4 linked regions of the Caenorhabditis elegans genome follow. The protein of the gene in region 2 interacts with the protein of the main gene of each other region in a pairwise test. Each region holds a gene or a part of one and is shown on either strand. Other genes may lie near its edges.

What was found.
Region 1: the proteins of shn-1 (region 2) and ztf-20 interact in a two-hybrid assay, tested with the Caenorhabditis elegans proteins (one large-scale study listed by BioGRID).
Region 3: the proteins of shn-1 (region 2) and lir-1 interact in a two-hybrid assay, tested with the Caenorhabditis elegans proteins (one large-scale study listed by BioGRID).
Region 4: the proteins of shn-1 (region 2) and haf-9 interact in a two-hybrid assay, tested with the Caenorhabditis elegans proteins (one large-scale study listed by BioGRID).

Annotation. Positions count from the first base shown.
Region 1 is NC_003283.11:18,957,027-18,962,122, reverse strand, and holds ztf-20 (C2H2-type domain-containing protein), read left to right. Parts: upstream 1-1,950; coding exon 1,951-2,032; intron 2,033-2,075; coding exon 2,076-2,194; intron 2,195-2,278; coding exon 2,279-2,472; intron 2,473-2,533; coding exon 2,534-2,719; intron 2,720-3,476; coding exon 3,477-3,651; 3' UTR 3,652-4,556; downstream 4,557-5,096. Other genes in the region: Y39B6A.43 (DUF4124 domain-containing protein), read left to right, coding at 375-572, 707-1,022; hrg-10 (DUF833-domain-containing protein), read left to right, coding at 4,817-4,946.
Region 2 is NC_003280.10:11,384,857-11,392,895, reverse strand, and holds the start of shn-1 (Protein shank), read left to right. Parts: upstream 1-2,031; 5' UTR 2,032-2,111; coding exon 2,112-2,171; intron 2,172-2,278; coding exon 2,279-2,548; intron 2,549-2,807; coding exon 2,808-2,909; intron 2,910-2,979; coding exon 2,980-3,568; intron 3,569-3,614; coding exon 3,615-3,956; intron 3,957-4,013; coding exon 4,014-4,286; intron 4,287-4,543; coding exon 4,544-4,633; intron 4,634-4,793; coding exon 4,794-5,116; intron 5,117-5,158; exon of another isoform or gene 5,159-5,179; intron 5,180-5,353; coding exon 5,354-6,195; intron 6,196-6,679; coding exon 6,680-6,827; intron 6,828-6,964; coding exon 6,965-7,118; intron 7,119-7,741; coding exon 7,742-7,971; 3' UTR 7,972-8,039. UniProt on the Caenorhabditis elegans protein: Scaffold protein that most likely acts in the postsynaptic density (PSD) of excitatory synapses which orchestrates synapse formation and maintenance at neuromuscular junctions.
Region 3 is NC_003280.10:7,670,381-7,675,044, forward strand, and holds the start of lir-1 (LIn-26 Related), read left to right. Parts: upstream 1-1,624; 5' UTR 1,625-1,662; coding exon 1,663-1,728; intron 1,729-4,483; exon of another isoform or gene 4,484-4,619; intron 4,620-4,664. Other genes in the region: lir-2 (C2H2-type domain-containing protein), read left to right, coding at 99-279, 331-750, 1,330-1,414.
Region 4 is NC_003279.8:6,080,126-6,086,487, forward strand, and holds haf-9 (ABC-type antigen peptide transporter), read left to right. Parts: upstream 1-1,686; 5' UTR 1,687-1,690; coding exon 1,691-1,795; intron 1,796-1,838; coding exon 1,839-1,916; intron 1,917-1,962; coding exon 1,963-2,057; intron 2,058-2,202; coding exon 2,203-2,576; intron 2,577-2,612; exon of another isoform or gene 2,613-2,680; intron 2,681-2,682; exon of another isoform or gene 2,683-2,814; intron 2,815-2,862; coding exon 2,863-2,980; intron 2,981-3,022; coding exon 3,023-3,153; intron 3,154-3,220; coding exon 3,221-3,299; intron 3,300-3,341; coding exon 3,342-3,468; intron 3,469-3,664; coding exon 3,665-3,780; intron 3,781-3,830; coding exon 3,831-3,912; intron 3,913-3,961; coding exon 3,962-4,090; intron 4,091-4,136; coding exon 4,137-4,468; intron 4,469-4,639; coding exon 4,640-4,863; coding exon of another isoform or gene 4,864-4,898; intron 4,899-4,914; coding exon 4,915-5,021; intron 5,022-5,065; coding exon 5,066-5,170; intron 5,171-5,461; coding exon 5,462-5,707; 3' UTR 5,708-5,832; downstream 5,833-6,362.

The sequences.
Region 1 (5,096 bases), on a different chromosome or scaffold from region 2:
ATCTATTGGTCCGGAATATATTACTCTGGGGAACAAATATTTAAATTATGTAATGACGCTATTTCGCAACAATTTCAATTGAGAATATGTAATATTTAAAAACCAACACGATTGAAAGAAAACTTTTTCACTGAAAATAAATACACTCGATTTTGCGCGTTCGAAACAAAATATATACAATATTTGAATCACTTCGAGCAAAACTATTGTGGTTTTGAGTTTTAATTCGATATATCTATTCAGAAATACTGTAAAATATAGGGATTCAGATGAAAAATTGAACAAAGCTATTGTATTTTTTTAAAGAGAATGTAGAATTTAAACAAAACCAATTTTCTTGAGCTTTCCACCTTCAAAAACCGAATTTTTTGCAGTTTCCCGGGATCCCCTGAGTACGCTGTAATTGTATACTACTGGAAAGGTGAACCAATTCAATTTGAGCCAGCTTTCAAGCAAAATGGAGTACGAACAGAGTCTAAGGAGTACTCGAGATATCAACAAATTGCTGATGAGGAACAAGAATTTGTGGAGGCTACTGGTTCTATGGATCCTGTGGTAGAAAATTTGCAGAAGTACGGAATTCGAAATTAAATATAAAAATTTTGAAAAAAAAATTTTTTTTTTTTGAAAATCTCAAATTTCTATTTTCTATTTTTCAATAAGAAATATCATATTTAATGTTTTTTAACAAAAGTTTTTTTTCCAGAAACCTTGCCCCATCACCACCACCGCTACTAAAACGTGTCACCTTCCCACCGGAACCCCAACAATCCACGTCATCAACATCGGCTGAAAACCTTCACGAGCTGAAATTACAGCTTATTCGACGAGAAATGCAAAATCAGGACAGATTTTCGGCGGTTTTAGACCGGGCCGACGGGCTTTTGGCTAGAATGGAGCAGAGATTCGGTGTGGAGCACCACCACCATATTGTACATCAGGAACAAGAAGAAGAAGTGTGGGATCATGAACAAATTATTGAAGAAGAAGAAGTTATTGTGCAGGATACGATGGAATATTGAAATGATTTTTTAAATTTTTTTTAGTTTTTGAAAATGCGAAAAATTTAAATTTTGAAATAAAAAATTTCAAAATTTTTTTTTTTGGATTTTTGTTTGAATTTTTTTAATTTTCAAAATAAATAAATAATTGTTTTTTTTTTTCAATTTTGAGTCACTTTTACACAATATGGTTTCGAATTTCCATTATAACTTAACGACAATTGTAAAAGTTGAGCCTTGCCATGAAATCTACAGTAACCCGCTGGTTTTCTTGTATGTTTTTGAAATCAGGAGATCACAGCGGTTCGAATAAGTATAATCATGACTAGGTTTCGAATTCATTAATTTTTTTTTGAGTTTTGGGTCCTGCCACGAAAACCAAAAAACTAGCGGAACTCGGCAAATTTCGATCGAAATTTCTAGTTCATAATAGTTTTCAAATTGACATGAAATGCGCGGTTTGAATGAGTATAATCACGACTATTTAAAAATTTTAAATTTTTGGGTCCCGCCGCGAAAATCAGAAAAACTAGGATAACTCGGTGATTTTCGATCGAAATTCCTGAAATTTTATAGTTTTGAAATCAGCATAAAATGGCGGTTCTAATAAGTATAATCATTACTAGACTCCGAATTTATTTATTTTTTCGAGTTTTTGGGTCTCGCCACGAAAAGTGTGAATTTTCGAGCAATCGATTTCATTTGACATTATTAGAAATTAGTATAAAATGACGGTTTAAATAAGTATAATCATGACTAGGTTTGAAAAGTTTGAATTTTTGGGTCCGGCCATGAAAACTTCTGGTTTTCGTGGTGAGACCCATTTTCTGTAAATTTTTGGAATCAGAAGACCACTGCGGTTTGAAAAAGTATAATCATGACTAAGTTTGAAAATTTCAGAAAATATTCGAATTTCTGGGGGGTCCCGCCACGATCAACTAATTTTCAGATGGAAAGCTTCTTAGAACACCTAGAGCAACTCAAACACGAATTTTCACAACTACCAGACGTTCATCTTTCAGAAGCAATAGGTTTGTAGAGACGAGCAAAATTTTTTTAATTTTTTGAAAAAAGTACTTCCAGAACGTATGGACGCAGCAGTTGAAGAAATGACACAAAGTGTGATATTTATTGAGGATAACTTCCAAAATACACAGGAAGAATGTCTAGTGGATATGGGAAAACATATGGTGGTACGTAATTAGGGAAAAGTTTGGGAAATTTGGAATTTTGGTCGCTGCTAATTTTTTGGGCGCTGCAATTTCTCATCATTTCAGGAAGATTTCTTGGATCCATCCGCCGCTGATTTTCTCGGTCACCTGGAGCCGTCTACGTCATCGCAGGATTTCATCTACTATGATGACGTGGCATTAGACACTACTACGTCATCGTCGTTCGTCACGTCACAACCTAGAGAATTGTACTGTTTTACGTGTGGAGATGCATTTAACAATCGGAAAGGGCTTTACAGGTATATTATATTTTAATTTAAAAAAAAAACAGAAATTTTCTTTAAAAAAATATTTTCTCAGACACGGAAAAACCGCCGAACACGCGACACGACCTCCTCGCCGAAAAATTGAGCGAAAAATTCAAATTCCCGCCGAACCGCCAGAAAAACCACCGGAAATTCCGAAAAAATCGATAAAAATCTGCGGGGAAAAATCGATTTGTGCGGAATGTTCGGGGAGTTTTCCTAATCGAAAAGCACTTTACAGGTGAGAACGCCCAAAAAATTAGCAGCGCCCAAAAATTAGCAGCGCCCAGAAAATTAGCAGCGACCAAAAAATTAGCAGCGCCCAAAAATTAGCAGCGCTCAAAAAATTAGCAGCGCCTAAAATATTAGCAGCGCCCAAAAAATTAGCAGCGACCAAAAATTAGCAGCGACCAAAAAATTAGCAGCGCCCAAAAATTAGCAGCGGCTAAAAAATTAGCAGTGCCCAAAAAATTAGCAGCGCTCAAAAATTAGCAGTGCCTAAAAAATTAGCAGAGCCCAAAAATTAGCAGCGCCCAAAAATTAGCAGCGACCAAAAATTAGCAGTGACCAAAAATTAGCAGCGCCCAAAAAATTAGCAGCGCCAAAAAATTAGCAGCGCCCAAAAATTAGCAGCGCCCAAAAATTAGCAGCGACCAAAAATTAGCAGCGACCAAAAATTAGCAGCGACCAAAAATTAGCAGCGACCAAAAAATTAGCAGCGCCAAAAAATTAGCAGCGCCCAAAAAATTAGCAGCGCTTAAAAAATTAGCAGCGCCAAAAAATTAGCAGCGCCTAAAAAATTAGCAGCGCCCAAAAATTAACAGCGACCAAAAAATTAGCAGCGCCTAAAATATTAGCAGCGCCCAAAAAATTAGCAGCGCCCAAAAAATTAGTAGTTACCAAAAACAGTTTCTATTGATTTTTGCAGATTTTTAATCGATTTTTCTCTAAAATTTACAGATTTTCACGATTTTTCTTAAATTTTTAAATATTTTCAGACATGGAAAACAAACAAATCATCAGACACATTTTCAACGTGGAATGAATATTAAAGGAGGATCAATTCGATGCGAGAAATGCGAATATAGCAGTGATAGTGAAAAGAACTTGAAACGACATTGTCAGAGAAATCATTCGAAATTTTCTGCAATTTCTGATGAGATTTTATTGTAAAATTCTAGTTTTTCATCACCTTTTACCTCGGGTAGCAACTTTGCAGAGTTTTAGTGCAAAATTCCGTCAAGTCCGGTGTTTTGAGTACGGTAGTCGGTGTTTGCGTGCTTTCGGCGCTACAGTACCCAAAATTTCTCAAATTTAACTCTAGAAGCCTATAAATAGACGGATTAGCTCAGAATTCGATAAAAATTTCGAATTTTTCAGTAAAGTATACAAATACCAAATGTTAACTGCGGAAAATACCATAAAATTCTAAATGCTTGAAATTTCAGCATTTTTTGAGATTTTTTCAACCTTTGCAGTGTGAAGTACCCGAAAATGTTCAAATTCAGCGCTAGAATACCGGGAAAAACGATTCTCACTCAGAATTCGACGGGAAATTCGAATTTTGCACATTAAAACATGAGAATTCTCAATTTTTAGTGTCGAAAATCAATATAAATCCAAAAATCTGAAATTTCAGCATTTTCCGAAGTTTTAAACATTTTTTCAGTGTGAAATTCGAGCTCTCCGACGAATTTCACATCTATATCATTCTTTTCAGCGTTTTTGTGCAAAATTCCGTAGAATCCGGTGTTTGCGTACTTCCAAAACTACAGTAACCCAAATTTCTAGATTTTGGGCTAGAAGCTCCAGAAAAAATGTAAAAGGCTCAGAATTTAAAGGAAAAATTGAATTTAATATGAAATTTATGGAATTTTCAAAAATAAAAAAATTTGGAAAAAAATTATTTATCTTTTCTTTTTTGTATTGTTCCAGTGTATATATTGTTTTATGATCTCTGATTATTGTTCTCTTATCTGATATTTTTTTGTGATAAAGAAAATGTCATCATTTTTTCCCGCGTTTCTGTGTGTACTTTGTATGTTATTTTCCCCGGGAATAAACTTTTTTTCTGCAAAAACTTTTGCACTGAAGCCTATATTGTGGTCATATGTGTATTGTAGCACTGATAATATTCAATGTTGAAAAAATTTGAAAAAAAATTTTTTTTGAAATTTTTTTTTTTGGAAATTTTCTTTTGGAATTTTTCATTTCTTCAAACTACTTCTCATTTTTGTTCAAAATTTGCAAATTTCCAACACTTTTCACCCAAAAATTCAAAAAATTCAAAAAATTCAATTAAAAATTCATTTTCGGATTTTTTCCAGAGTTTTCCAAAATGTGCATTGGATTTATTAAAATTGCTACTTCACCCAGTGAAAAATACAAATTAATTATTCTGAACAATAGAGATGAGGATTTGGACCGGCCGACTACTCCCATTCACTGGCACGATGGGATGCTGAGTGGTAAGGCTGGAAATTATCACTTTACAGGGAAAAATTGGAAAAATTGAAATAAAGAAATCGAATTCCGCATATTTGAAAACCTATGTGAAGGTTTTAAAAAAATTAGAAAATTTTAAAATTTAGAAAAAAAAATTTTTTTTTCAGAAAATT
Region 2 (8,039 bases):
CGCACCTGTTCCCCACCTCATGAATCTCCCATTTTCCTCAAAAATTCGCTTCCTCTCAAAATGCCAAGATTCCTCAAAAAGACGGCCTTCAACTGTGTTCCGTTTCATTTCCTCCCCAAGGTTCATTGCCATCCTTCTTATCAGGTGTCAGATTTTTTCTGAATAGGGGGGAATCAAAAAGTAAATATTTGATTTGACACCACAAAATGACTAATATATTTTTTTACAATACCCATCCCTACCTCCCCCAGTTTCCTCCCTACTACCTTGATTCTGGAACTTTGTGTCCAAGGTCGTAAACTCCGGCGGAAACATGTCTCTGACTCAATTGTAAGAGTCAGCTTACAATAGTCACCTTCCTTTCATCCAGACGTCTCTCTTTCTCTCCCTAGATAATTCTTGTTCACTACCTTTAAGCCTACCTGCAATAAGCTGTACGGATCATCTACTTTGACTACCTTAATCTCCATATGTCTTATCATCTCGTTTATCACTTGAAATTGGAAACGAGATTTGTGTAGTTTTATCGCATTTTTCGAGGTGCTTTAAAACCATTTGGAGATGAAATTCAGAGAAAATTGTTCTAGTTTCTCCATTTAATTCGCGACTTGTTAACGAACAAATTGTTAAATTCATGTTTACGTAACTAAAAAGTTTTTTTTTAATTTTAAGAGACGACCGAGTTACAAGCTGTCAAAGTTGAGTACCATATTTTCTCATTCCACTTTTTTGTTCAACTTTAGCATCTTATATCTCAGTTGCCGTTTGTTTTAATCAAAAATTGTTAACTAACGAAATATTTGCAATTTTTTTTCTATCGTTTGTATTCGATAATTTATTGATATCATTAAAATACACCAAGATATAATTTTTTAAAGTTAAGTAATGTGGTGCAATTTCATATTTTTAATATGTACCCTTCTCCTATGTGTTTCAAACACCGCTTCAACATTCACATTGAACTTTCAGACACTTTGAGGACAATGTTACATTTTTTTCCTTTAACATACAAACTATTTGAGTACATACTTAATTACCTCTTTGTCACAGCTACGTCTTCATTCAATACTACTACTTCGTGCATTCACTGTTCGTTTTCTTACTTTTTGTCTCTCTCTCTCTCTCTCTCTCTCTCTCTCTCTCTCTCTCTCTGTCAGTTTTCCTCTTCTCCTCACAAGCTTCTTCTCCTCATCCTTCCAAGAAGTGAAGCCAGTTTCCGCCTCTCTTATAGACAGTTTGCGTCTCCACATCTTCAATGCTATCTCTCACATTATTCCGACAGTACGGAGAAAAGAGTCGCGCTCTCTCTCCTCTGTTCGCTTCCTCAATTCCATTACGAGTGTTCTTTTCGAATGGCAAAACCTATAAGTCTTTTGAGAATTCCATCATCTTTTCAAGTTTGCATAGTACTTGTGGATCTTGAATTTTAGATGCGGAAACATTGATAGATTCGAGTTTGAAAATGTTCTAAAACTTTATAGGTTTGATTATTAGACTTTTTAATTTCAATAAAGTGCAGATTTTAAAACTCGACGCTATTGTATTTGGCAACACTTTTTGTGACTTCTACGATTTCTTCGTTTTTCAAACAGACACGTAGGCGTATAGGAATATAGGCAAATAGGCAGGCACATAGGCATGTGTGAAGGCAGCCTGTTGCTGGCTTTTCGCCCACAATCGCCCGTCATCGCCCTAGCTCGAACTTTTAAACCAAGGCAACCAAGAACTAGAAATTTTACAAAAAAACCTATCTGTCAAAAAACCATTTACCTACCTATCTCTACCCAGAGTTTCCATCGTTTTTTTTGTCCCGACCAACCCGACCTTATGTTCAATTTTATTACCCATGATCAGCACCTCCTACATGCGCAAAATGTTGCCTGTCCCCCTTTGTGATCCATGTCCCACCAATTGACATCAATAGTAAATACATCAAAGTTATCGCCTTTCTTCTCTTCTTTTTTCTAATTTCTCTATTTCCTCTGCATTTCTTTCTGTTCGATTAGCTAATAGTGGTAACTTCATTCTAACAGTGTTGTACAAGTCCGGAGACATATTGATGCGCTAGTGTCATCATCGGAAGCAAAGGCGTCCGAGCGGAAGCATTCACGATGAATCAAGAGGAGGACACCGTTAATTTGCAGATCTTCGTTCCGGAGCTTAACGTTCGGGTGAGCAATTGCAAAATAAAATTGTGACTATTTGCAGAACTTACCATAGAATTTCAAAATGTTTTATCTAGGTGTTCCATAATCCTTCTACAATTTCTCAATTTCAGAAGTTCCTTGCGGTGACCCAAAACGATTTCATCTGGGATGTGAAACGCAAGTTATTGGCCACCCTTCCGCAAGCTCTTCCGCAAGCTTTCAACTACGGGCTCTTCCTTCCTCCATGCGATGGACGAGCCGGAAAGTTTCTTCTCGAGGATCGGACCATTCGTGACTATCCGTTCACTGATTGTGTTCCGTATCTCGAGTTGAAGTATAAGAAACGAGTCTATAAGATGCTCAATCTTGACGAGAAGCAGCTGAAGGCAATGCACACGAAGGTAGGGATTACTTCTCTTTCAACTTTCAATGCCAAAACCTCCCAGGTTCTAAATGTTCTAGTTCTAATCCCATCTTATTATTCAATTCCTTCCGATCCAACATGTTGATCGAAAACTGACAAAAACCTTGTATAATTACAAGGTGTTTTATGCGTCATATTCCATCAGATGCATATCTTTCCCCCTTTCTTCACAAACTAATAATATTTGTGTTCGCGCGCACCTCTCAATTCAGATACTTATCGTTCTCGTTTTGCAGGGCCAACTCAAAAAGTTTATGGACTACGTTCAGCAGAAGAATAACGAGAAAGTGGAAAAGATGTGTTCGCAGGGACTTGATGCAAATTTTCATGATGCTCAGGTGAGTTTTTGTGGATGTTTCTAGGATTGCCGGGCATCTTGAAATTATTTTAATTTTCACAAAATTTCAGGGAGAAACCCCATTAACGCTGGCTGCTGGAATCCCGAACAATCGAGCTGTAATTGTATCCCTTATTGGTGGCGGAGCACACGTGGATTTTCGCAATTCAGAAGGCCAAACTGCAATGCACAAAGCCGCATTTCTATCTTCCTTCGAGAATGTAAAAACCTTGATCGAACTTGGAGCAAGCCCAAACTATCGTGATCCAATTGGACTTACACCGCTCTACTATAATATGTTGACAGCAGATTCGAATGATCAAGTCGCTGAGATTCTTCTACGAGAAGCCGCCGACATCGGTGTGACCGATATGCACGGAAACCACGAGATTCATCAAGCATGCAAGAATGGGTTAACGAAACATGTGGAACACTTACTCTATTTCGGTGGTCAGATCGATGCTGAAAATGTAAATGGGAATAGTCCTCTTCATGTCTGTGCAGTGAACAATAGGCCAGAATGTGCAAGAGTACTGCTGTTTCGGGGAGCTGATCATCTAGCTGTGAACAAGCAAGGACAAACTGCGTTACATGTTTCGCATATTGTCGGAAATCCTGGTGTGGCTGATGTCGTTCAAGCACATAATCCTAAATCTTCAGGTAAGAGAGTCATTTTTTTAACTTCTCTGAAAAATCTAAATTCCAGTACCATATCGCGGCACTCCTCAATACTCAACTCGCCGACGCCTCAGCTCAACCATCACTCGCCGACGTTCGATGTCCCAATCCTCAATATGCAGCCAGGATGTCTACCGTACTCCCCAAAGTGTACGAAAAGGTCCAATGTCTGCAGCTCCATCGCCAAGCCCGTCTCGATCCTCCCGTACTACCATCACCCCATCAGAGTACGGTACGATGCGACGGTCTGGAATGGATTCGATGCGTGGTGGTGGAATGATTGCAGCTGGACACGAGACAAATATCGCTCGGATTCTGGTGATTCCACGTGGTGTCAAGGGATTCGGTTTCATTTTGAGAGGAGCTAAACGTAAATTCCTTTTTCTTATGTAACTGCTCAATAATTTTCTCATAGTTCTTGTTTCAGATGTCGCCATGCCATTGAACTTCGAGCCAACTGCTCAAGTGCCGGCTCTTCAATTTTTTGAAGGTGTCGACATGTCCGGAATGGCGGTTCGCGCGGGATTAAGGCCAGGAGATTACTTGCTGGAAATTGATGGAATCGATGTGCGAAGGTGTTCACACGATGAAGTCGTCGAATTCATTCAGCAAGCCGGTGACACGATTACACTGAAAGTGATAACAGTCGATGTAGCTGATATGAGTAGGGGAGGAACTATTGTGCATCGACCGCCAACAGGTAAAGAAAGTTGAATAGAGTGTTGTTGAGATTTGGGTTGAAAGAAGTTCATATTGGGAGTTAAGTATCTTGATGATCTTGATATTGCACAAACTCGGCTTGAAGTGTAAGCTTGAACTTATCATCCCAAATCTCAATGATAATTTCAACGTATCGTCGTTCATATTCGCACGCTTTTAGTTTTGTGTAGTCTTTGTTCAAGTACAAATTGTTTTCTAATCCGTGCACCGTCACCATTCACTCACATTCACTTCCAGCATCATCTCGTCACTCTTTGGTTTTTACACCCACGCCGTCAGCAATCTACTCGTCTACAAAAGCGTCCAGTGTTTATCGGATGAGATTTGGTTCGAATTTTTTTGTTTTATTTTTACTTTATTTTTCTAACTTTCTAATTCACTGTTCACGTTAATCTAGAATTTACATAGAGATCAGCTTTCTAATTATGTGTTATCTGTTCTATAGATTTGTTCTCGGTCTCGTGTAGCATAGTCATTTTATTTTCAGACACGCATGATGCGCATGGAGTTGATTACTATGCCCCAAATGAAATCAGGAACGCCTACTCGGAATCACGTCACGCGTCAGTCAGGCAAAGGCCGGGTAGCGGGAGGAGGATATCCGCAGCGGAATTGGAGAATTTGATGGTTCGACAGCGGGTACCGTCGGTGCAAGGTTCACCATATCAAATGCAATATGATCAGGAGTCGTTGAATGGGGGTTATTCGTCAAAGAAGTATAATTCGGTTTCTGACATGAAGAGGAGGAAAGGTCAACGGAATGTGGTGGCTTCATCTGCCGGATTGAATAGGTCGACTTTCGAGCAAGCGGTGAGTTTTAGAAAAATGTGGGAATCGGAATATTTATTTGCTCTAAATTACGGAGAAACTAGATTAAAGATGCCAAAATGCCAAAGTTAAAAAACATTTTGAAACAGAAAAAAATTTAAAAAATTAACCCGATTTTCTTAAATGTTTTCTTTTTTGTTTGTTAAATATCATGTCATTTGGAGCAATTCAGAGCAAAATTCCCAACAGCGAGCACACTGAGAAAGTAGAATTTTTCAGGCTCCCACAACTAGCACATTCGAGTACAACTGTAGCAGTCGAAGCACACCTCAACTATCTCGAATGGACTCATTTGATTCATTTGACGATGAAGATGAGATGCCAGCTCCACCACCGGCGTCGTATATCTCTCCGGATTTGCAGAGAGATTCTTCAATGCAGCGGAGTGAATATTCTAGGCCGTTCCGACCAACGTCAAGGCCGAAAACTCCACCACCTCCTCCACCGATGCAACATCAGAATCATCAGAACCACCAATATCAACAACAACATCCATCTCTTCCAAGATCAGCTTCAACACCTCAACCAATTCAGCAGCAGCAGTCATCGATTCCACCACCGCCTCCACCACCTCCTCCGCCACACTGCGAGCCAACGATGGTACATGTTGAGTTCACACCTCCATCAACATCTTCAGTACCTCCTCCACCTCCTCCATTGCCTCCAATCTCATCTGGAGCTCCGCCACCACCTCCACCACCTCCTCCGGGAGGTTTGATGCATGTGGCTGCGAGTGCTCCGGTTTTGATGAGCAATTCAAAAGGAATATCAGCAGATGCCTTGAAATCAGTTCAATTAAAAAAAGCAGAACCACGAGAAACATCGGCGGCTTCTGTCAGTAATAATAACAATAATAACAACAACTCCACGACAGATTTTCAAATGGATTTGAAGAATGCGTTGGCAAAGAGGCGGAGTAAAGTAGCTCACGATGTCGATGAGGATGAGGAGAGAGAAAGTCGATTCGAAGGATTATCACTTCGAGAAACTGTTCGGGAAAATGTTGTAGAACGTGGAAAAGGAATTCAGAACATTGGAATAGTTAATAAGAAGGACAGTGGGTAAGTGAGTTTATTTCATTTGAAAAATGCTCGTTGGTTGCATAATTATTGGTTGTGTCCGATTTTTGCTAATTGGCTATTTCTAACTGCTAATTTTTGGAACATTTAAAAAAGTCTGTCAGAATGTAGTTCAAAACATTCTGAGACTTTTGGCGTCTATTCGTGTCTCTTGCCTACTTTCATAGTACCTTTAACCATATTCCCACTATTTCACTTTGAACAGTTATATCTCAGTTCATTTAGAAGATATCATTAAATGTTCAACTATGAAACTATAGAAAAAGTATCAGAAAATATTTAGTCAGTTGACAATTTTTGTGTAGAACAACCGAAAACTGAGATATAAGCTGGTAAAGTTGAACAATCGAAGTACAATATTAATAGAGAAAACACGGTAACTGCTAACTGCTTTCTCGAACTTCCGTAGCTCAACATCTTCAATCTTGAAGCTTACATACAACTTAAATAAATCCTCTCTTTTCAGGTACACATCTTCTCGAACGTCACTGGAACCATCTGAATCGGAAGAAAAAGATCATCGACCCCATTTCTCACTTGATCACTCTCCAAATGTTCAAAGAGTGACACTGATCTCTCAGCATCTCGAGGATAATTACGGACAGAAGGACAATGTAAGACCCATTTTTCCCTGCACTGATTTCTCAATATAACATTTTTCTTAACCCCAAAAAAAAGATGGTGTGAAAGAATGTTTAATTTGTTCATGTGTGGTTTGTGCCCAATTTCTAACCTAAAACCTGCAATTCAGATGTCTGTTGCCTCGTCGTCAACTGCGTCATCATCATCAACAGTTGATCTAACGAAACCTGGATGCTTCGTGGTACCATCTCATGTCATTCCACCTGTCGATTATGATGATGATCCGGATTCTGGAACAGGCGATAGCGATGGAGAGATTCGCTGTAAGAGATTCTTCTTCCAACTTGTTTTTCATTTGACATCACCATTAGTTTTACTCTTTTTGCACACTCACTTAATTTATGTTCTCACAAATTTTGGAGATTAATTTATGAATCTAAGAGGAAAGGGGAGAATGAAATCTGTCTGGGGTCTAGTTTTGGTTAACATGGGGTTTTTGGAATGCTCTGGTTGTGTTCTCGGGATACATTTTTTTTAGCAAATTCTCAATTCAAATCATTATAAATGTTTAGAGCAGTTTTGAGAATTATCTAGTTTATTTGTTTACGCTTGTATTCTTGTAAAAATACTTGTAAACTTGTAAAAATATTTATACTATAATAGTATTTTTGTCAAAATATTTAGTTTTCTAAATATTAAAAAAACAATTTGATTTGGTTTTTTAATTTACTTAATTTCGTTTGTTCTGTTTCAGTGTAACTCTTCATTTTTGAATTGTTTGCTTCAGTTTATCTGTTAACATTTCTAGTTTGAAATATGTTTGAAGGAAACTTCTTTTTTGGATATTTTGTAAAAGAAAAAATTGTTAATTCAAATCATTATCTGTTAGATTTTGGGGCTCATTCCTTTAAGTTTCAACAAATTACCAAATTTCCTCTCTTTGCAGGTAGTGAAATATCATTCGAACACAAGAAGGTAGATGTCTGGTCGGTGGATGACGTCATCGGTTGGCTCTCATCACTACACCTCTCTGAATATACACCAGCATTTCGAAGTCAACGAATCAATGGCCGATGCCTTCGCCAGTGCGATCGGTCTCGATTTACACAGCTCGGTGTCACCCGAATTGCTCATCGCCAGATAATTGAATCAGCTCTCCGTGGCCTCCTCCAGTGATTTATGATTTTCCCCCCTCATTTCTACTTTCTCGATTTTCTCCCGCGTAGCTGGCTTTATATATTTGT
Region 3 (4,664 bases), 3.7 Mb from region 2:
AAACTAACAATTTTCCTATTTCTCATCAGAAAATTATCACATTAATTTAATTGCAGCTGTTATTTAAATTAAATAAAACATTTTAACCGTTTTTTCAGGTATACCTCGAGCGCCTAGACTCGATACGGTAGAATATTCCAACTATGAACATGAACCTGAAACAGATGAGATTTCTCGAGATGGAACACCATTTTGGTCAACACCAATTCCACCAACTAACAAAGAATTGCCGGTTTCCCCTGTATCACAATTGGACATGACGAATTCAATCAAGAGCAGGTAGAATTAATAAATTAGAATTTTCATTTCATAATTTTTTTTCAATTTCAGAGTGGAACGTGTTGATGTAGAAGTTAAACTGGAACCTTGCAATGACGAAGATGATGAATTTAGTGAAGAAGTTGATGAACAAACTGCTGAATTGGAAGAACAACTAGCAACTGAAGCTATACGGACTGGTTTGGCACTTTTTGGAAAAGTTTCCCCATCTCCAAAACGAATGAAATCATGTGGAAGTTCTGGAAGTGTTTGTGGAGATGTAGTCACAGCGATTTGTGAGATTTGTGGAATTGGAATTCGCCTGAATTCTGGTGGTTCTAAATGGAATTTCTTTGAACACGTAATGATGAAACACTCCACTCATAAACCATTCAAATGTTCCCAATGTCCATATCAAGCTGTACGAAAAGTTCGTGTAAAGCAGCACGGACAATCACAACACAATTCGGAACACGAACCTGTGAATATGATGTGAGTTTTTATTTTGAATTTAAAAAATTTTAAAAAAATTATTTTTTAAAGATTTTAAAAATTGTGCGACAGCTCTTTTTTAGTTGAATCACTAATTCACTGAGATTATTTTTTTTTATCTAATCTCACTCGAAAAGCATGAAAGCCGGTTTCTGTTTTAATTGTATAATTATTTTAAAATGTACGCAATTTGTTTTATAAATTACGAAAATTGCTACTAATGTTGCAGCTGCACCGCAAGATTTTTTTTTTCCATTCTATTTAAAATGGTAATTTTATCCAAATGTGAGGATAAGCCAAAAATTTATTTTTGGCATAAACCCGCAAAAATAGATTTGAAATTTTGAATAAAATGTAAATTTTAGAAATTTTTTTTTCTAGATCATATTTTAGACTAAAAATGTTTCAAAAGAGCATATTTAATTTTTTTTTTAAATTCAATTCTGTCGCAAGATCGCTCCATTAAAAAAAATTAAAAATGTTTGAATAAAATCCAATTCAGACGATGTCCATTTGAAAACTGAATTTAATTCGTTTCATTCCAAAATAAAAAAATCTTACAAAGTCAATTTTTTTCAGAACACCAGAAGTACGAAAAGAATGGCTGGATACAATGGCAAAGTGTTTCCCGAATCATCAATATGGAAAAGAAGCAAAAATTTAATAGTTTCTTTAAATTTTTTTCGTTGATATTTATAATATTTTCTTTTAATTTTAAGTTTTACAACGCAAATTTTGTTCTTACTCGATTTTCAATAAAATCGTCGGTCTTTTTATTATTTGTGGTAATTTCTTTTTTCTTATTTAAATAGTTATTTCTATTTCTGAATATCTTTATCGTGCTCTTGTAATTCCTAATAATATAAATAATATACATAGGTGTCGTCTTCGTACGATTCGAACCCGGCCGGGATGCCGAAATTTGTGGTCATCGAACTGAACGATGATGCAGCAACGATCGATCTTCTCAGTTATTGCGTGAGTTTTTTTATTTATAAAAATTATCTAAAATATTGATTTACTCATTTTCTCTGGTTTGAAACTTTGCATAGAACTTCCAATTGTACCTCTGATTCCTTTTTCGGTCCATATTAACCATTGGTATCCCCTAATTATTCGAATCGACTTCCTAAACAAGGGTGCCGCTGAAAAAATTGTCGGTTTTTTTTGTTGAGAAAATCCAAAAAAATTCACTTTTGAAAAAAAAACGAAAAATTCCGTTTTTTTTTTAAAGAAAAAATCGAAAAAAAATTTGAAAACACTTTTCTTATACGGAATTCAAAATTTAAGTTGATTAAAGTTTTTTTTCAAACAAGTAACCGAGATTTTATTATTTTTTTTGGACTTTACAATTTTTTAAGTGTAATTGAAAATCAATAAAAACTTTTTTTCTGAAAATCGAAAACAAATTTTTTCCGTTTTTTCGCTCTTCCAAAATCCGAAAAAAAGTGCGGTCTGATGCTAACCAAGGATTTCTTTTAAAAAATGTCAATTTTTCTGTTTGAGAAATAATCGAAAATCTAACTTTTTTTTGAGCAATTTTTGTTAAATTTTGATAAATTTCGAAAAATAAATTTTTTAGTTTTTTTGTCTAAAAATGCCAATTTTTTTGAGAGATAATCGAAAAACGAACTTTTTTGGTTTTCCGAAAAAAAAATCAAAATTTAATTTTGTTGAATATAAAACACAAAAGAAAATATAATTTCCTTCTAAAAAAAGCCCAGGCGCTGAAATTTCGAGCAATTTTTGAGAAATTTCGAAAAATCAAAAAACCAAAATTTGTTGAATTTCCAACAAAAAAAACCGAAAAAGCGACACCCTTGATCCTAAAATGTAGGGATTCAACATAACCTATAACTTCTATTCTCTTAGAAATCAGATTTTTGAAGTATAGACTAGCTTGAACATCACTGCAAACATTTTTTTTATATTTCTCCTAAAACCTCTACTCTATCAATGATCTCTCAATTCCAAGCTCTTTCTTTCGCACGATGCTCATTTCGAATTCGACATATATAGCTCCTTTTTTCGGTGCTTCTCCTGTACATAAGAGATCGATGAAATCAATCGTCGTGGCGCTCTCATAAATGTGCAGAAAGGAAGCAAGAGCTGCAGCCAACTGCTGCATCGGCGTCCGTATTTTTTGTTCGCTCTGTTCCCTTTTCCATTTATGCGAGCAACACGGTGATGCTACTTTCATCGACGAGAGATAGTATATGTTGAACGGAGGATTTGAATGTTTCTGTTCACGGAGCAACCGTCCGTTTTCTTTCTCTCAGTATCATCCTCTACCCTTTTTCGAAATATTTCTATATTTGATACTGGAAATTGGTTAATTTTCGCATTTGACAGGTTTGCTCATTTATCGAGATTTTTTAAATCTAAATTCTAAAATCATTAGCGACAATAACTAAAAATATAAATTAATCAATAATTTTCCTGAAACATTAAAATTCCATTTAGTTCTGGTATTTCTGTCCGAACTAATCTTGTAATTGAATAATCTATATTTCATCACAATGTCTTTCTTTTTCTTCTATTCTACGAATACATTTTTGCCTGTACGAGCTCATAATAGAACGCGTTGGCGCCTGCCTCACTTTCAGCATCGTCCGAAGTGTACATACCTCCTGTTCTCCATCATCGTCTTCTCCCATCCCTTTCTCTTTCTCCCATACCGGGTATTGAGCGCCTGTATGCACAATGCACACAACTGACAAAACTGTACTCGTCGCGTCGTTGTCGCCGTTGTCGTGTGCCCCGGCGAGCGCAACCAACAACAAAACTGTGTGAGCGCTGTTAACACCATTTCTTCTATCACCTTCTAAGCATCCCGGTTTGAAAGCGGGTGGTAAGGTGTCCGATATTATAAAACCGCAGCACAATGCTTAGAATGTGTGTGTGTGTGTGTGTGTGTGTGTGTGTGTGTGTGTGTGTGTGGTGTATGCAAATATTGCCGGTGGAGCCGAAGCCATAAAAATCGAGCACATCGTCAGTCTGACGGTATCATTGTGCATCTTTTTTGATACGACTTTTCACTTTTCCGTCACTACACTTAACCTTAAGTCTGCAGACTTCTCTTTTTTCTATAGTATAGACTCTTTATCCCCTTATTACAATAATCGTCTTTACGAGTCCTCATTGCTTCCACTCATTGACTATCCGTACTTATAAAATGAAACTCCTTCTTATTTCTTAATTCTTTGTTCACTTCTACAAGACGCTCTTGACTCCAATTCATTCTCACGCGATTTCGCCCAGTGAGTGTCCGAAATAAGGTCAAATTGTGCATTATGTGAAGTGAGAGTGAAAGGGTCTTCTAAAGTTTTGACCTGGGATACGTCATTCTGAGATTTTATGGTAGGAAGTATTGCTCAAAATCTAGAAGAATTTTTGAATGGTTTTCAAAAAATTATCGACTAATTAAGCAGTTAAAGTACTCGAGTAGAATTTTTTTCGTTGTTTTGAGTTTTTTTTGAAAAGTTAAAAAATGTGCTATCGTTTTCTTTTTAACTCAAAGTAACGTATTACTAAATGTTCCGAAGATCCTGTTAGAGTATCCGTGTCGTCTTTTCTCTCTGAGTTTATGGTATTATGGGAACATTCGCGCACAGTGCGCATTAGTCGTCTCCGTGATCTTTCTCACTCCTCCGTAGCGCATATTATTCCAATCCATGACTTTCTCCTTCTTCATGTCCAAGGAGCGAATGCATATCTCCGTAAAGTCACCCGTCGAGGCCGCAAAGACGTACACCCGCACTTTCGGCTCGCGATGACCTAAATTCTGTGAACGGTTGGACGACGGAAGAAGTTGATGAAATGGTGCGACCTCCTCTCCGCTCTATAAATCGACCCCGATTGGAGCCAATTCAGATGAAATCGTTTTGTGCGCACACACGCTTGTCTAAATCGGA
Region 4 (6,362 bases), on a different chromosome or scaffold from region 2:
AATTATTTTGTTGACTCTCACTTGTTAACAAAGAAAATGAATGAGGAAATTAATTATTTAGGTCTTCTTTGGTCTTTTCGGGCCTTTTCAAGTCCTTCAGAGTAATTTAAAAATCTCTTACTTTTATTTTAATAATTAATTCTTCGAACTTTTAACTTTTAGACATAAATAAAACATAATTGTATATCGAGGATCAAAATGCACTCTGGATTGAATTTCCAACTGAATACACAAGAGAACATACCCGGCAGATGGGTGAAGAATAATCTTGCCAGCTGGCATTTATGAACCAGCTAGTCGGTTGCAAAATGTAGAATTTGCGTATGCAGCTTGTAAAAGGAAATCCGGATGAAAAATCTAGAGAAAAAAGACGAAAAAGTGTTCTGGAAGACCGAATGTCCAAACGCAACAAAAACTGATAAAATTCGGACGCGAAAACTATGAAAACTGAAGAGAAACGAACAACAACTACGTCGTCGTCCACGTACACATAACTATATGTACAACCAATTCTCCCATTTTTCTCTCATTCCTCTTCACATCCACACAATCTCTACACTTCTTGTGTTCATTCGTTCGTCCAGTTCAGCCTGCGGTCATCTAGAAAGACGACCTCGATTTCCGATTTCAATCTTTCCATCAGCTTCTGTGTCTCTTCAATTTAAATAGATTATTCATTTCTTCACTCTCGATGTCCGCGTTTAAACTGAACAAAAAACACTGGCGTGTATGCAAATTGGAAAATGCATCGATTTTTTGTTGGAAACAACTGATTTTCAGGTGAAATGTGGGTTGAAAGGAAAAACTACTAATTACGAAAAAGGGGGCCAAACCAAAATGGCATTGAGAAACGCGTGGTGTAGGAGGATTAAGGAGTATTTACTGAGGTAATCGGAGAGGTTGCATTCAGATATCGGAATAAAAGTGAGAACTTGGGGACAGTTGAGTTTGAAAATTCAATATCTAACCTTTCAACGCTTGAAAATATGGTGTTTTCTTGATTTTTTCTAAACAAACCGAAAAGAGTTCACATTTTACGTTGGAATAGCGCAATCTAACTCAAATTCTATGAAAACCAATGTTTTAAAATTATTTTACACAAAAAAAAACACTTTTCATGAGAAAAAGGAAGAAAATCAAGAAAAAAAATAAATAAGTGGAAGTTATCCGAGAGGAGTACATATTACTGCACACAATACACACGAAACTACGGAAAATTGCAGACGCGACGTGGTGTACCGTATCCTGCGCTAAAATTGTCGATTTTTTATGTCTGCAGACATGTCTGAAACTCTGAAAAATCCTGAAAACAAACAAAGATTCACATGCAAAACAATTCACCCCCGCAGAGCATCCAATTTTGCATCAAATTGGCAGTTACATGGTTGACAAGCGCCCGCAGCGCCTAATCACACTGATTATTTAGTTGAAACGAGAGAACGAGAGCCGAAGAGAAAGAATAATTCGTTATCTTCCCTGATTGTCCACCAGTAAATTGAAGAAAGCACTGCGGAGAGTTGCCATTCTCCTAAAATTCACTGATAGCAAATCACGGTTATCAATAAAGAGTGGGACAGAGTTTCCATTTTTCGGTTTTCCTAATTCGTTTTTTGATACTCCAAAAAGTTACATTTCTAGTTACTTTTTTCTTTTTTTAAGCAATTTTGAGAAATTCGAGATTTTCAGAAGAATGAGTTCTTCTCTTTACACGGGTGGCCAGGCCCTTTTCATATGCCTGGCGTTCATTGGCCTCGATCTTCTGGTCAATGTATTCGGACTTGCTTGGAATGGAAAAGTATGAAAATATGTTCAAAATTCGAACCAAAATCTCTTTTCAGTACTTCACGTTCGACAATATCGCTCACTGGTTTGATTTGGCCAACTATAGTTTTTTGAAAAATCCAGTAGATTTTTTGGTAGATCAGAAAATTTTGTTCAACCACCATAAATTGAGTATTTTAGGCGGTTGCGTTGATTCGTGACAGTATTTTGCTCGGCGGAGCAGTTTCAGCATGGGCTTCACCTTCCGGATTCTCACAAGTCGCCGAAAATGTCAAGTAAGTTGCCAATTTTGAGAACTTCAAGTGGGAAAAATCAATTCAAAGAAAATCAAATTTGTTACAGTACTCGTCGTTTGAAGGCGCATTCCAAATTCCCGAATAACAAATCATTGAAACTTTTTGTTAACATGATAATTTCCAGGAACGTAGTTTTTGCAATGATGCTCTTGATTGTTGCATTTGCTCCATCGAAACTTCTAGCATTCTATGAAGATGACAATATCCGGTTGGCAGTTGGTGATTGGATTCTTATGATTTGGTGTATTTTCGCTTCACTTCTTCTTCAAGGAATCTGGACTTCTGTGCTTGCTCATGTAACAGAAGTTGCAGCAGGAACAGGAGATTCTCTTCTTTTTGGAGATGCTGAACACGAGGAGAGACTCCGTCAGGAGGAAGCTGAAAAAGCTGCAGAGCAAAGAGAAACCTTCCAATTGTTGTTCAGACTTTTGGGCTACATGGGAAGGCAGTGGAAATACTATGGAATGGCATTCTTCTTCCTTTTCTGCTACTCCCTTAGTAAGTTCTCTATTCAAAAATTAAAAAGTTTTAAAAGCCATCATACTTTCTTGTCATCATGAGAGTTAATCAAGAGTAGCAAATAAACCTAAATCACGTGGCGTGGAGTTGAACTCGGGAGCGGCGAGCGGCAGCCGGCCGCGTTAACCACTAGGCCGCGAGTGAAACAAGTCGAGACAAGCGAGAAGGGCGCTTTTATTTGCGAGAAAGAAGGAGAGTTGTTAGTGAAGTTTAAAGAAAGAAAAAATCAATTGATAAAACTCGTAATTGGTCAATTATTATACAGGTCGAGTGTTCATTCCATATTACACTGGAGAAGTAGTAACAGCAGTATTCGGTGATAAAGCTTCATATGAGAAGCTTCACAAAACCGTTTTCATAATGGGAATGCTCTCATTGGCTTCGTAAGTTGTACAATAATATCCTTTTGGAAAAAAAATGTTCAGAACTGTATTTGGTGGTCTTCGTGGAGGATCATTCACCTATGCACACGCTACAATCGATCGACAGATTCGAAATGACCTATTCCGTTCTGTTGTGAAGCAAGAGATTGGGTTCTTTGATATGAATAAAACTGGTTCGTACTTAATGTGGAGGAGAATAGCAAAATAATGGTTTTCTGTAAGAAATGTAACTTCTTTCAGGAGAGATTTGCTCTCGACTGTCAGCTGATTGTCAAACAATGTCGAACACTTTGTCCCTCTACATGAATGTTCTTACCAGGTGAGATATCGAAGATAAACTTGAAAATTAAAATTTTTAAAGAAACTTGACAATGCTCTTCGGGTCTTTAATCTTCATGTTCACACTGTCTTGGAAGCTCTCAATGATCACTTTGATCAATATTCCGATCATTTTCCTCGTCAATAAAATTTTCGGAGTTTGGTATGATGTAAGTTGGGAACTAGTTGGAAGAAAAATCAAGCAATATCTAAGTTAATCTAAGTCAAATTTTAAGATTTTTGGAGTATAGGTATTGGGGGATTTTGTATAAATATACTGAACGCTGGTCAAAAATACTGAATATATTCATGTCAAGCATGTTGAAATATTTTAGGTTTTTCAAAGCAAACAAAAAATATTTTCAGATGCTCTCCGAAGAAACTCAAAACTCTGTGGCAAAGGCCAATGACGTGGCAGAGGAAGTACTTTCCTCGATTAGAACTGTCAAATCGTTCGCATGTGAGAATTATGAATCTAGCAGGTGACATTTTTTCAAGTAACAATATTTTTCTTGAATTCCAAAATGTTTAGATTCATGACTTTCCTCAACGTAACTCTCAAAATTGCTACTCGCAAAGTCTTCGTCGTTATCGGCTTGATTTGGTCAAATGAGGTTAGTGTTATTGTAGTTATGGTACAGTAACCCAAACAAATATTTCCAGCTTCTTCAAATGGGAATCCTCACTATTGTCTTGTGGTATGGAGGACATTTGGTAATTGAGAATAAAGTAGAATCAGGACTATTGGTCTCGTTTCTTCTGTATCAATTCCAGCTCGGGGAGAATTTGAGAGTAAGTTTATCACCAGGAAATCCAGTTATAAATTACCAAATTCCAGGAACTGGGAGAAGTTTGGAACGGACTTATGCAAGCCGTCGGAGCATCTAGAAAAGTATTTGAGTTCATTGATCGTCCACCACGTGTCGAAAACACTGGAACCTATGCACCTGACGGTATGACAGGAAAAATTGAATTCCGTCACGTGGCGTTCAGTTATCCAATTCGGCCAGATCTGCCAATTATGGAGGATTTGACATTTACTGTCGAACCTGGAGAGGTTGTTGCACTCGTTGGGCCATCTGGTGGTGGAAAGTCATCATGTATTGCAATGCTAGAACATTTCTATGAGCCAACAAGTGGAGAAGTTCTAATTGACGGAGTTCCGGTTAGGTGAGAGCACAAAAAACCACACAAGTTTTTGAAAAAATTTCTGAAGTCCTTTGAGTTTGCCATATAGTTCTCGTTGGGAATCTCAAAAGATTTGATGATTGAGCAACCTTTGAGCCACTTATGACAATGGCCCAGCTTTAGTTTTTGTTCTATGGTCAATCAATTTTCCAGAGAATACGATCATAAATTCTTGCACACCAAGGTAGCACTTGTGGGACAGGAGCCCGTACTATACGCTCGTTCGGTCACGGAAAACATCGGCTATGGATTAGACAAATACGATGATGATATGGTACAAAATTCAGCGAAACTCGCAAATGCTCATACTTTTATCATGAATGACACCACTGATGGATATAATACAAATGTTGGAGAAAAAGGAAGCCAAATGTCAGGTGTGTATTCTAATTCTTTGAAATTTAAACTTTGAAAGCAAGTATTTGCAGGAGGTCAAAAGCAAAGAATCGCAATTGCCCGTGCCCTTGTCCGTCAACCAGTTGTACTTCTTCTCGATGAAGCTACATCTGCTTTGGACGCTGAATCAGAACATACTGTTAGTTTTTTCGATCCATTCATACGAAAACTACATCTTTTCAGGTCCAAGAAGCAATTTCAAAAAACTTGAAAGGAAAAACTGTTATCCTAATTGCACATAGACTATCTACTGTCGAGAATGCAGATAAGATTGTTGTGATTAACAAAGTTAGTTTTGAATATCTACAGTTTTTGGAAAGTAAACACTTACAAAAAAGAGAATTTTGAAAAATTCAAGAAATCCATGAGTTAGGTCAAAGATGTTCGTTTTTGAAAAATTATCGAATTCACTTAATATACGATAGGGATATATTTTCACATCTCCTCGTAATTTTACCAAAAAAGAGCAATAAGAAAATATGGGAAAATCCTAAAAACTCGCATCGCATCACTGTTTCCCAGGTTCAAGCCATTTTCAGCTTTTGTATAAGAAATATAACTAATGCCCAAAACTTTCAGGGAAAAGTTGAACAACTTGGAAATCACAAGACCCTAATGGAACAAGAAGGACTCTACAAACAATTGGTCCAACGACAAATGATGAGCGGAGAGGATGGTCTTGATGACGAAATTGAGGAGCCCGAACCAGCCCGCGAAGGAGGTTCAGGCCGTAGCACTAGAGCCGGAGCACGTAGAATTAGAAGTCCATCACAGTCTGTTAGCCAGTCATTTTTGGGTACCTCATTTGCAAGCAGCTATTTGTAAATCTTATTTCTAGCTCGCGATTTTATTGAAATGTTTCTTGATCTATTTTAAATCTGTTGAGTAGTGTTCTTAAATCTGAATTACACTTTTTTTTGCTCATGTTGTTATCTATGAAAGGTTTTTTGAAATGTCTATATATTTTTCTAGCCTAGAAGAAGGAAGAGGAAATTGAAATTGTTCTGATCTGAGAATCGGGATACGGTAGAGATAACATGTTTGAAACGAAATTGAAACAATCATGGTTGCAAAAATACCTTCAGTCTACACGGCCTCTCTCAATTTCATTTATTTCAAAATTCCTCTTTTTCTCTCACACTCTCTCACGTGAGATTGAAAATTGAATAATATATGTGTTTTTAAATTAAATTCAAAATATTGACGAAGAAACAACTTTGGTAATATAAATACCGATTTGTTCGGACTGATACCAAATGGTAATTTTCGGACATATTTGATCTCGTAGACAACGGCTCACTATTTCAGTTATCTTTAAAGTAATAAAAAATTCTTCAAAGTTTGGTACAGAGAAACTGAAGTAGTTACATTTGTAGAAACTTACATAACGTATAAACCTACCGTATTCCTATCGTACCCAATTACCGTATTTCCTCTATTAGTCTTGAATGCAAGACTAATTTTCAATTGACCCGTAGGG